Linked DNA regions of Caenorhabditis elegans. The gene in region 2 interacts genetically with the main gene of each other region. Each region holds a gene or a part of one and is shown on either strand. Other genes may lie near its edges.

Region 1 (6,313 bases), on a different chromosome or scaffold from region 2:
AACCTTCCAGCAGCACTTCCAGCAGCTTCTGGCGTCACATCAGTTATCAGGAGAGAAGCTTGAAACAAATGCAACCGAAGAAGACATGAAAATTTCCTTTTTTTTTACTGTTACAATACCTATTTCGTAAATTATATATATATATATATATATATCTCGTTATCTCTCCTTATATTATTTAATCCCAACATTGTATTCAGTTTCATTGGCTTAGCAAGTTTTCGATTGAAAATTTTTTTTTTCAGCCAAATACCGATTTTTCATATTTTTTTCGCATTTTTGATTGATGTTTCTGTGATTATTGGTTTTCCTATGTTGTTTTAAAAGGGTTTGTAATGTATCTTCGCTGAAATGTTTGTTTCATATTCAAAAACGGCAATGTTTCCACTTTCCCACTCGGTATCTTTTAGTTTTCAGGCTGCAGCTTCAAAAAATTGAAAATGGCGAAAATTTTAGGGTGGAATTTGTTTTCTTTTTTTTTTTCATATTTTACATAATACTATTTTCGTAATTTATTTTTTTCCCTCAAAATGTGCATGATGCGTTAAATTTTTTTTGGCATAGACTTCGCGTCCCAAATGGCGAGTAATAATTATTGAGAAGGAAAACTGTGTGCGAGCCCTTTGCAAAATGTGTGCGCACCACTTGCGGTATGCCTCATCGTGTGACTCCGCCCACATTTTCTTTTGTTTCCATTTTCTCTTTTCCCCTCAATTTATCGATTTTTATCCACTTTTTGTTTTTCACATTTAGAATTGAGTATTTCATCGCTATTCTGGTTGTTTGCGTTAAAGTTTGTCGTTCAAAATCGAAATTTTCGTTAAAAATCAAGGTTTTTATTTCAGAATGACTGAAGTCGTAAATGCCGACAAAATAAAAACGATTCGCGCGTACTACAAGCTGTGCCAAAAGCCGGAGAATCGAGCAGTCGTGCTTAAGGTAAGTCGTTAGCTCACTCAGGATTCACATGAAAATTAAATTTCTTCCAGGACAAAACATTTTTCCACACTCTCCCAACGCTCCTCAAGGACGAAAGCTCCGATGTCATCAGATACACGGTTAAAATCCTCGTTTTGCTCACAGAGCAGTCGGGGAACATCGAGCAACTGCTGAAATCCGCAGATTTACTTCCAGCATTGTCGGAAGCCTGCGAAAATATCACAAATCCCAGTGTCAACTATAACTTGGTCCTTGTCTCGAGTAGGATTCGAGTAGTGAAGAATTCGCTGGATGCCAAAAGAGCCGAGAAAGAGCCTCTAGCCGATGCGATCAAAGAGCTCGACAAGGGCGGAACTCTTCACCGAAAATTCGTTGGAAGAAAGTCAAAGCAGATTATTATGGAATTCGATGCGGAGGAATTCGATGAAACGAAGAAGCTGTCAGTTGAGAGAGGCCTTCTGAAGAAAAAAGGAGTAATCAGTGTATATATAACCGAGCAGAACTCAATTCCACGCGCCGTGCTCCGCACAATCCCGACAATCGAAGCCAAGGACATTGCGCAGTCCGTTTTCGCCGCCGCCGGATTCGAGTACGTCGCGCAGTTAGTGAAAGTGAACGGAATCGACGAGAAATTCGAGTTTTACGCGTCAGAGATGGGCAAAATCACGGAAAACTCGAAAGATTACCCCGAATATTTGGATGATGATGTGCTTCACGTGGATCCGGCAAGTTGTGTGATAACTAATGAGATGGCTGCCCATGGAAGTGGTCAAGAGGGCGGATGGTTCAGTTCGATCACTTCATTCGTCAAAACTTCCCTCTGGTGATGGAAGGAATTCTCGGATTATCTCGGAAAATCTCGAAAAAAAATGTATTAAAGTACTACGGTTTCTTCTTTGTTATCTCAATATTTTCTTTTTTCTCCTGTTTCTCGTTTTTTTTGAGATCTCTTTCTGGTATTATCACCGCACAGGCATATAAATCGTTTCACACTGGTTTTTAAATCCTCGTATTCTTGATTTTTATGTGTTTTTAAGCTGTTTTAACCAGCTCTAATTATCTATTCGGCAGTTTCAGATTCGAAAAATGCGATTATTCTCATATTTGGACGGTTGCGGTACCAAAAATAGAGGAATTTATCGGTATAAAATATCCTTAAAAATCCAAAGTCCTAGTGAAAATCTTGTTTTTGCGTTTTCATCTAGTTTCCGATTCGAAAAAACCCATTTTTCTAAATTTTCTACCTGAAACCACGTATTTTGACAGTTGCAACACCAAAAATAGAATAATTTTCCTTTAAAATCGCCACAGAAGCACAAATTCCAAGTGATAATCTTTATTTTGCGTTTTCAGCTAGTTTCCGATTCAAAAAATGCGATTTTTCTCGATTTTCTACCTGAAACCTCGTATTTTGACGATTGCAGTATCAAAATAGTGGAATGTTTTTCAAAATAGCCATAAAAGTAAAAATTCCTTTTTAGCTAGTATCTGATTCGAAAAATGCGATTATTCCTCAATTTTCAACTAGAAATCCTATTTTTTTTTAAATTTTCTACTCTAAATTTCGATTTTTCGCACTTTTCCACTCGAAATAAATTTATTAAATTTAAATTTAATTTTAAAAAAATCTTAGTTTTTGTGGATTTTTCCTGTTTAAAATGACTTTTCTCTGCTCCCACATGAAATTTGATAGTTTCAGCACCTAAAATATCGAATTTCTTTGCATTTTCTCGTCTAAAACTCACCATTTCCTTTAAAAAGTATAATTTTCAGTAGCTGTGAACTCCCAACAACCATGCTTCTTCACTCTACCAACTCTTATTCGATATTCACTGGTAAAACACAAAAAAATACAATTTTTTCGAAATTTCTTCATTTAAATTAATTTCCAGACCATGAAGTCGAAACTCGAACCTCTAGAATCCGCTCAGCGATGTTCCCCGACTGGATTCCACCAACTTCTGCTGCAGAAGCCACAAATTCAACTACAAGCATCGTCGAAATGATGCAAATGCCAACTCAACAGCTGAAGCAATCAGTTATGGATCTTCTAACCTACGAAGGATCAAACGATATGTCAGGACTCTCGCTTCCGGATCTAGTGAAGCTTATGTGCGATCATGATGAGTCAGTGGTTGCTAGAGCTGTTCATCGAGCTTATATGCTCTCAAGGGAAGATCCGAACTTCTTCAATGCGCCGGGATTCGATCATCGATCTTTTGTGGAAGCTCTGATGGCTGCGTCGAAGAGTTCCAACGTGAATGTCCGTCGGAATGCGATTGGAGCATTGTCTCACATGTCTGAGCAACGTGGAGGACCTCTTCTGATCTTCAGAAGCGGAGGGCTTGCTGAAATCATTCGAATGCTCTATGATTCACTGGAATCAGTTGTTCACTATGCTGTGACAACACTTCGGAACCTTCTGATGCATGTTTCTGATTCCAGAGCTCAAGCGAGAGCTCTCAACGCCGTTGAGGCGCTAACTCCGCACCTTCATAAGACGAATCCGAAGCTGCTGGCTCAAGTGGCGGATGGGTTGTATTTCCTGTTGATCGGTAAGGATTCACTGGAAAAATCAAGAATTTTGTACAAATTTGCATTTTTTAAAGCTATAAATTCAAATTTTCCACTCTAAAATTTCAAAAATCGGTCAATTTTGCAGACGATGCTCCATCGAAGATCACATTCCTATCACTGTTGGGACCACAGATCTTGGTTTCGATTCTTCGCGAGTACTCGGATCATCGGAAGCTCATCTATACCGTCGTCCGTTGCATTCGATCCCTGTCCGTTTGTCCGAGCAACAAACCGGCGTTGATCAGTCTTGGTACATGGATGTTTTGATTAAAAACTATTTTATATCGCATTTTTAGAGATATTTTCAGGTTTTTATCCACTGAAAAGCTGGAAATTTGAGATTTTTAGCTGAAAATACTTGAAATTCGCAGCTATTTCGAGTGTTTTGAAGCAATTTTTAAACATTTTCCTTTATCTTTCACGAAATTCCAACAAATTTCAAAATTTTTGTTCCGGTGGTTCAAAGTTTCGCTGAAACCTCCAATTTTACCCTCTTTCAGCAGGAAATTACTTTGAAATTGCGCGTTTTTTGAGAATTTTCCAATAAAAAAGTTCAGAAATTTAAACTTTTCAATATTAATTTTTTCTAGGCTGCCTTCCTGCTCTCTACGTGGAGCTCTGCACCGCAAAAGACGAGCGATCCCAGACGGCGATTCTAGTGGCGATGAGAAATCTGTCGGATTCTGCGACAAACGAGGAAAATCTCACTCAACTGATCATCAAGCTTCTCGAAATCATTCGTGTCGCCAACGATGGAATGACTGCCTGCGCGTGTGGAACATTGAGCAATCTCACCTGCAATAACACTAGAAACAAGCAAACCGTGTGTTCTCACGGGGGAATCGATGCTCTCGTCACCGCGATCCGCCGACTACCTGAAGTTGAAGAAGTCACCGAACCGGCTCTCTGTGCTCTTCGGCACTGTACTGCCAGGCACTCACTGGCTGAAGAAGCTCAAAGTGAGCTGAGATTCTGTCAAGCATTCCCAGTGATTTTGGATCAGCTGGAAACTCTTCGTACTCCAGTTATCAAGGCAGCTCTCGGAGTTATTAGAAATAGTGCACTTCTTCAAACAAATCTTATCGAGTTGACACAAGAACAAACTGCAAATGGGCATACAGCTGTGTCACTGACAATGGATATCTTGAGAAGAGCTATCACGGCGATTGAGGAGAATCCTGATATTGCTGTAGATGGAGTTCCAATGTGGGGAGTCATCGAAGGAGCTGTCTCGGCTCTTCATCAGCTCGCGAATCATCCGGCAGTCGCTGCAGCATGCTGTGATGATATTGGACAAGTCGGAAATCCAGAATGTCCACCATTCTTGGATCTTCTCCATCGTCTTCTGGCTCATCCGAGACTCGGATCCATGGATGATGAAGTTCTCGAACGCGAGATTCTTGGGCTTCTCTATCAGTTGAGCAAGCGGCCAGACGGAGCCCGTGCTGTTGAGAGTACTGGAGTTAGTGCTCTTTTAATGGAATCTCGTGGCTCACAGTACAAATCAGTCGTCACTTATGCGAATGGAGTGTTGAGTAATTTGAAGAGAGGAGATTCAGCTGCCATCATGAATATGTCTAATGTGAGGAATTAGGAAAAAAAATAAATTTTCCGTAAAAAAACCGAAAAATCGAAAGAAAACTTTTGAGCCACCACGGATTTAAGATATTGTGGGATTCCGGATCGTTGAAAAAATGTGTTCTATGTGTTGGCACGGTGATCCGGAAATGGTAGATCTAGAATCCCACCGGATCTTGAATCCGTGGGGCCTCAAAGTTTTTTAAAAATTCAATGTTTTAATGAAATATTGTCCATATGGACAAATGTTGATGAGAAAAACCATATAATTTTGTTCTAAAAACAAGGAAAATAGTTCAAATTTTCAGCTTTTTTTCGAAAAATAGAAAAAAAAATTTCAACATAAATTTCCGATTTTCGAGCGAGCCATTCATGAATTAATTCCGAATTTTCAGTCGTACGACTACGAGATGAGTGGAAGTGCTGCGGATTGGCAACGTGATGGGCTGGAACGAGAGCTTTTCGCTGAAATGTATCCGACAAACGACGGCGGACACTCGGAATCCATTAATATGGCGTTGAACAACTCACAAATGCGCCCTAATCACAATTGGTACGATACCGATTTGTAATTAATTTATCTTCTCGTATTTTTGCATTTTTTACACATAATCTGCTGAATATATCCACTGGGAATTATTATTCATGGTTTTAAATTTAATTTTTGATACTTTCAATATATTTATATTATAAATGTAATTTTATACTTCCTACTATCTAATGTTATACGTATCTTTTTTTTGGTTCTTCGGTTCCTTTTTCCTATATTTTTTCAAAAAAAAAATTTCAGACAATTTAAACGAAAAATTTCCAGATGAGTATCTGCCTTGAAAAGCAGAAAATCCGATGCGGAATGATAAGCCGGACGGCTCGACACATTGCCATCGATGAGAATAGTGGAAAAATGGCAATTGTGAGGAAATCTAGGTTTGTACGGAGGATTTATTGGAAAAAATGATTTTTGAAATTAAAAATTAAAGGTGGAGTAGAGTCAAAACAAATTTTTTGCTTAAAATGACAGAAAATATACCCAAATAACCGATTATAACTGAAAAAATGTTCTAAATTTTTTATGATTTTTCAATTTTTCAAAAATTGAATTCCCGCGAAAATAAGTGACGTAATTTGTTTATATTCTCGCGTTTTCTGGCTAAATTCTTTGGTTTTTCTTGATTTTTCTTACACATATTTAGTTTTAAACTCTGTTTCTCAAATTTTC
Region 2 (6,090 bases):
TGCAGAGCTTAGTTTTGTATCAAAGTTAAGCTTCTCTAGAGTACGCATGGTATCAGTGAATCCACGTTGATGATGATCGTATCGTTGTTTTGAATGATCAAAGATTCCACCGACATCGACGATAATATCACACTTCTCCAGTTGAGCAGCGTCACGGGTTCTGAAATTACAGATTTCAGAACTCAGCTATAAAATAAATCCTAATAAAAAAGTGGGTCATTTCGCAAACTTGATAAACATGAAAAATCGAATTACCTTAAAATCGAATGATCCTTGAATTGTGGCAATTGTTTCAGCATGAAACAAGCAAAAGCCTCATCGCAATGGAATTTTCCGGAGTGAGTACCAATGAGCGATGTCATCTTGTGACCGAACTGTCCAAGAAGTCGTGAAATCACCTGCAGAGAGAAAACATTTTAAAAATCAAATTACCTATCTTTATGAAACCGTTATCAATAAGTAGTTTAAGATATGATGCTCACGTTCAAAACGAAATTTAGAGGTAATAAATAATAAACACAGAATAAATTTCAAGTAATTTATGAAAACGTTAGTCATGGAATGAATTTTTGAAACCGGGCTTTAAAAAAAAGTAAGTACAATATCTACAATTGAAAAATTTGATTGAAACGGGCGACACTTTTGCAAAATGTTATGCGAACGACATTCCAGGGTACTTCACGTTAGTTTGGAGAAAATGTTCCATTTCGTGTCGAGTCCGTGGCTGTGCATAGTCACCGATGTAATGTTCCTTGTAAGTTCGATAAAGCTCTTTCGCTTTTTCACATGATAAATGAGCATAATGAACCGGAACAGGCAACGAGATGGGTTTTCGACATCTAGCAGAGAGAAAAGCAAGTCCGTAGGTCATTTTCTGAAACATTTTTTTATAATAACTATATGCGGATTACAAAATCCTAAAATCGCTAACTGCTATTCAAAACGCTTACATAGACTTCATCTTGGCTCATTCCTTTATCGTCATACATAACAGTGTAATGTCCTGGACGAGATGTACCAAGGACACCATGATGAGATGCCAAGAAAAAATCGAATTTGTATTTCGAAACGATAAGTTTATCCACAGTTGTTCCGGATGATGGGTTCACAATTCCAGTTTCTTTGCTTTCTTTCATATCCTCCTCCCATTGTTTAACAGCAGCAACAGCGACATCTGTTTCAGCAGGAGTAAGATCTTTATTGACCACTGGCTTATCTTTTTCCATTCTTCGAAGCAATCGTGTATTGTGTCTTTTCTGAATCACAATGAACGTGTACTTCGGCTCTGGATCTTCTCCATCCCGTTCCGACATGAATTGTTTTACTTCGCTTTTTAAAGATCGAAGCTCATCATGACTAACACGTAGCATCTCCGAATCGCTAACTCCGTCTCGATAGACTACAATATGCGCTGGTGCTCGATTGTCGTTGTTCTGAAAGTTTACAAAAAAATTAAAAATCCCAGAGATCTTTTAAATACTCAAGACAACTCACTTCTGCGAATTCTCTGAGCAATTTCACGAACTTTGCTTCCAAAATATCTGTTCTTTCCCGTCCATGAGCCACTGCACGCTCACCGGGACGACATTCTTCTTGAGTCACAATCATATTTCGATAGATAGTTCCACCTGGATTGATACTCGCTACTACAGCCGCTATAGAATAATCAATTCCACTGTAGGAGGTTGGATGAGTTACATCAATTCCAACATACATAGTTAATGGCATTGTTTTCCGTCTTTCTTTTTCTTCTGGTGATATTTCTGCAATTTCTGACCAGTCAAGCTCCTGGTTAATACCTCCTAATTTCGCGTTGATTTTCAATGCAATTTGATAGAAAATTCGTTTTGATCCTTTCTCGTGCCTTAGTGATGCCAAAGCTTTTGTGACTGTTTCAGAAGTAATATGCTGATTAGCTACACCGATGGTGTGATCGCAATAATGTTTCACAAAACCGTAAGCATTCAGTTGTCGTTTGGAAATGATAATGAACATTAAGACTTTTTGTTCTTTATCGGGAAGACGTTCAAACATATTCTTCGCTTCTGTTGCGGCTATTTCAAATCTACCGATTCCGGTATTTAGTGTACAATTTTTGTAGAACTGTAAATATGATATTTAAAAACTTTCAATTTTCTGAAACTTACGGCATATTCATTTTTCGTCGCGTCGTACATAATAGATTGCGCTCCTCTGTTTTCATTGGCACCAATTCGTATTCCACGGAACTTGCAACCACCAATTAGTTCGGTGTAGAACTTACTGAAAATATTTCGGAATAATCTACGTAGAAAACACTTACACAACGTCGTTCTCTTCTAAGCATGGATTTCCCGCTGTTTCGTTGACTACAAAAACAGCACAGCAAAGTTCTTTTTCGGGAACCACATTCAATTGTTTTTCTTGAAATCCACGAATCACTGGTGTCATTTTAATTTGTTCATTTACACTATTCACAAGCATTGGCTCTTTCAAAACCTTTCCTGGACATTCGATCATCTGAAGTTTGGAGCATAATCCAAATCTTTCAACAAAATTTAGCTCTTCAGAAGAGAAATCCAATTCTTTCAGCATTTTTAGGGTATTTTCTTTGTAGTCGTGAGGTTTTCGTGTAGCTCGCTTTAGAAACTTGTCTTGCATCACCAGATCAATTCGATTCTTGTATCTTTGTGGCTTCTCATGAACTTCAAGATGTTCCATTGGTACAGCGTATTCTTTTGCTCCACTTTTAACTTTGACTAGTGGTAGGTGGGGAAACTCAATGAACTTTTTGTTTTCCTCATAGATTTTGAACAATGTAGTATCGTACTTTTTTGCATTTCTTCCTCTGTCCGATTTACCAGTGACTTTATAAACAAGAGAGTTTTCCTCGCACAAATCTAGAAATGTCAGATGTCGTTCTGTCAATCTCGACCTGAAAATCAATTTGTATATTAATTGTTTGAATAATTTAAACTAACATTTCGTTATCCCAAACTTCTGCGCATTTCAGCTTCAAATTTTCCAATAATTGTCGAATTCTTGGCCGCGCGGCTTGTCTGATTGTCATTTTTCCCGCCATCAGTTTTGTTTTAAGATCTTTTCGTACATCATCGTTACACGACTGGGGGTCGACAATTAGGAGAAGATAATCCAGAAGAGACATTTTCGGTGCATTGTAGAATAGTTTATCGACAACTTCAACAAAAATCACATGATTTTTTATCGCAGTTTCTCAAACTTACTTGCAAAATTGAGCACAGGTTCACCATCGAACAATTCTTTGATTCCAATGTAAATTCCAAACCATGCTTCGATTCTTGGTGCTACTTCTAATGATTGTTCGAATCTGTTTGGATCGTGAAACGATTCAGGAACTCGCAGAATTGAATTATTATCGTACACAAAATTTTTCGCGAATTGTCTTAAAATATATAAATGAGTTGAGGTGATTATTATTATTATTATTGCAACTCACACTTTAATCTCCTCGTTCACAAAAGGCGCGTAGCGAACTTTCTGGGTCATAACATTCTGAAAGCTAATTTTGTTTGTTATAATGCGTGTTTTTCATAAACCTTCAGGAATTTGTAACTCCGATTCGCTTCTTCGTCTTTTTCCGGATTTTCTCGACTAAAGTTCAGGTGAAATTTTTTACGATAGGTAAGTATCATTGTGTATAAGATTTTTTTCTCCAAATCCTTTTCATCTTTTTTCTCCGAATCCTTTTTTACTACTTTCTCCGAAACCAGCATTTTTGATGTGACAGTGTTCAGTCGACAAACACTATAAACAGTGTCCTTTTCATCAAAAACATAGTCTTCGAGAATAAAATCTGTCTGCTTCTTCTCATGCCGAAGATGTTGCCAGAAGAGTTTTGCACGATCGGGACTGAAAAATAAAATTAGTTTTGACTAATTTACAAGCACTTACATTGGAATTTCTGTCTTTTTTGGGAAAGGTTTTCCTGGTTTTCTATTCAATACTTCCTTTGTCATTTTCACTTCATACTCGTAGTATTCCCGATCGTAAATTTTGCTGGAGAACTTGAACCAATTTACCAAAAGAAGTACTTTCTTCTCATAGAATTTGCCGTCGCATTTACCAGTGGGCCTCGCAAGCCATTTCATCTCCTATAATATTAATATCAAACTTATATATCTTATAGCTGCTAATAATTGATCATACCGGATCGAGAGAATGACGATAAAATCCTTTTTCCAATTCGGGAAAATTCGAGGACATGTTTCATCACTTTGTGGCTGTTGATTATCTAGAAATTACCAATAAACAACGTTTATGATTAAAAAAGAAGTATATTTGATAATTGAAGATAGAAAAAGTTAAGTTTTAATCTCTAATTAAGTTGAACAGTGTTACAAGGCATTTTTAAGCGAGAAAAAATGTTTTTTGAAAATATTTTTAGCATGAGGAATGTCGTCATTTGCGCTGTTTCCTCCGCAATACTTCGTCCCCGTGTTTGCAGAACCACTCTTTCCAATTTATTTATTTTTTATTTCCCTTCAAGAAATTTTTTATGGCGTTTCCTTTTGATATTTTACATTTGGAAATTATCCGTTCAACTTTGGAAAGTGAAAAAGATCGATGTGAAGCAAAGGAAAAGTTTGGAACAGTGAGTTTTTCTTGATTTCTGAGTTTCAATTTATTTTATTGGAAATCACTTTTCAGATTATCGATAACTTGAATGGTCCAGCTGATATTGAAAAGTACGAAAGCTTAGTTCAAAAAGCTTTTCTTCACGTAAGTTAAATGTTAGAATACGTCTTCCAATGTGTGTTCTTCAGGCAAATGCAGAGACTAAACTTGAGTCGATCGGATTCAGAGTTGGAAGGCAGCTCGTGGAAAAAGTATCAAAAGAGTCTCCGAAATTGGTCACTGAGTTAGAAGTAAGAATTTTGTGACAAGTTTTATCCGGTTGTAATTTAAAAAAATCAGATTGTAAAGTTCATTTGCAAGGATTTCTGGTCATCAGTGTTTGGCAAGCAAGTCGATAATCTCCGCACAAATCATCAGGTATATTATTTTTCAAACGATTTTATTTCCAAAACTTATATCTTTCAGGGTGTCTATGTTGTTCAAGATGGAAGATTTACAACGCTGCGAAGTTTTCCCGAAGGTGATCAATACGTGAAAGAAAGTGGATATTTCCTTGCTTTTCCATGTGGTTTACTTCGCGGAGCCCTTGCTGGTCTTAATATTAGAGTGAGTTCTTTCTTTTTTTGCGTAATCTACGTTTGTTCGTTTCAGGCAATTGTAACTCCAACAATCGAAAGTGTACCTTCTGTGAAGTTTCATATTCAAGTTCAACCAAAATAGTATTTTTCACATGTCAATTAATTTATGGATTTTTGTATATAGTTTATTTAATTTTTGAGAATAAATAAAGAACACCGGTAACCTTGATGACATCGAAGTAATAGAAATAGAAGAAAACATTATAATTGAAAAAGTTCATATATTCCCACCGAAGACTATATTTTGGTTACAGGAAACCAAAAACCTAGTTTTGCATTTTTGGAAATTTGGTGGAGCAAGTTCGGCTCCAATAAAGGCTGCAGCCGGTCCCATTCCAATGCTAAATACAAAAGTGAATAAAAAGAATAATTTTATAACGAAAACAAGTAGTTACACAGTCGCGATTCTTTGCGTCAAAAACACAAGCGGGCGTGCTCCTTCAAAGGTTACTGTAAGTTAAAACTCGTGGAATTTTCATCGACTTTTCATAGTTCTTCTCACGATTTGTTATTATCAAAATATAAAAACTGTCACCTCAAATTTGACTGCAGCAACGCGCGCGAAATTTTCGCTCTCGATTCCGCATGCCGTAAAAACAGTTGGGACCACGGTCTCGCGGGTGATGACAGAAGCGGGAGAAGAGAAAACGCTAGAAACATCAGTTTTTGCGTTGTATCTTCGCATTTTCTCGTCTCCGGTTTCTGTCACCACCCGCGGGGCCGTGGTTACAGGTGTTTTTACGCCATGCGGAATCGAGAGCAAAAATTTCGCGCGCGTTGCTGCAGTCAAATTTGAGGTGACAGTTTTTATATTTTGATAATAACATTTTGTTTTTGTTGAAATGTATTTTTTCAA

Evidence for each region.
Region 1: of rde-1 (region 2) and hmp-2, a change in one rescues a mutant of the other (synthetic rescue), as found in Caenorhabditis elegans (one study listed by BioGRID).

What each region holds. Positions count from the first base shown.
Region 1 is NC_003279.8:14,736,857-14,743,169, forward strand, and holds hmp-2 (Armadillo/beta-catenin-like repeat protein), read left to right. Parts: upstream 1-2,025; coding exon 2,026-2,081; intron 2,082-2,712; coding exon 2,713-2,774; intron 2,775-2,831; coding exon 2,832-3,494; intron 3,495-3,601; coding exon 3,602-3,766; intron 3,767-4,106; coding exon 4,107-5,098; intron 5,099-5,489; coding exon 5,490-5,666; 3' UTR 5,667-5,800; downstream 5,801-6,313. Other genes in the region: K05C4.7 (Armadillo repeat-containing protein 1), read left to right, coding at 847-939, 990-1,766; K05C4.5 (WD_REPEATS_REGION domain-containing protein), read left to right, coding at 5,909-6,021. UniProt on the Caenorhabditis elegans protein: Required for cell migration during body enclosure and cell shape changes during body elongation. Plays a role in recruitment of the cadherin protein hmr-1 to adherens junctions.
Region 2 is NC_003283.11:9,987,391-9,993,480, forward strand, and holds rde-1 (Piwi domain-containing protein), read right to left. Parts: upstream 4,253-6,090; 5' UTR 4,225-4,252; coding exon 4,168-4,224; intron 4,113-4,167; coding exon 3,913-4,112; intron 3,871-3,912; coding exon 3,558-3,870; intron 3,514-3,557; coding exon 3,458-3,513; intron 3,404-3,457; coding exon 3,225-3,403; intron 3,178-3,224; coding exon 2,961-3,177; intron 2,915-2,960; coding exon 2,303-2,914; intron 2,263-2,302; coding exon 2,148-2,262; intron 2,104-2,147; coding exon 1,495-2,103; intron 1,434-1,494; coding exon 951-1,433; intron 875-950; coding exon 653-874; 3' UTR 526-652; downstream 1-525. Other genes in the region: MYG1 protein C27H6.8, read right to left, coding at 1-160, 256-362; trpp-6 (Trafficking protein particle complex subunit 6B), read left to right, coding at 4,517-4,612, 4,669-4,740, 4,785-4,886, 4,936-5,013, 5,062-5,202, 5,248-5,316.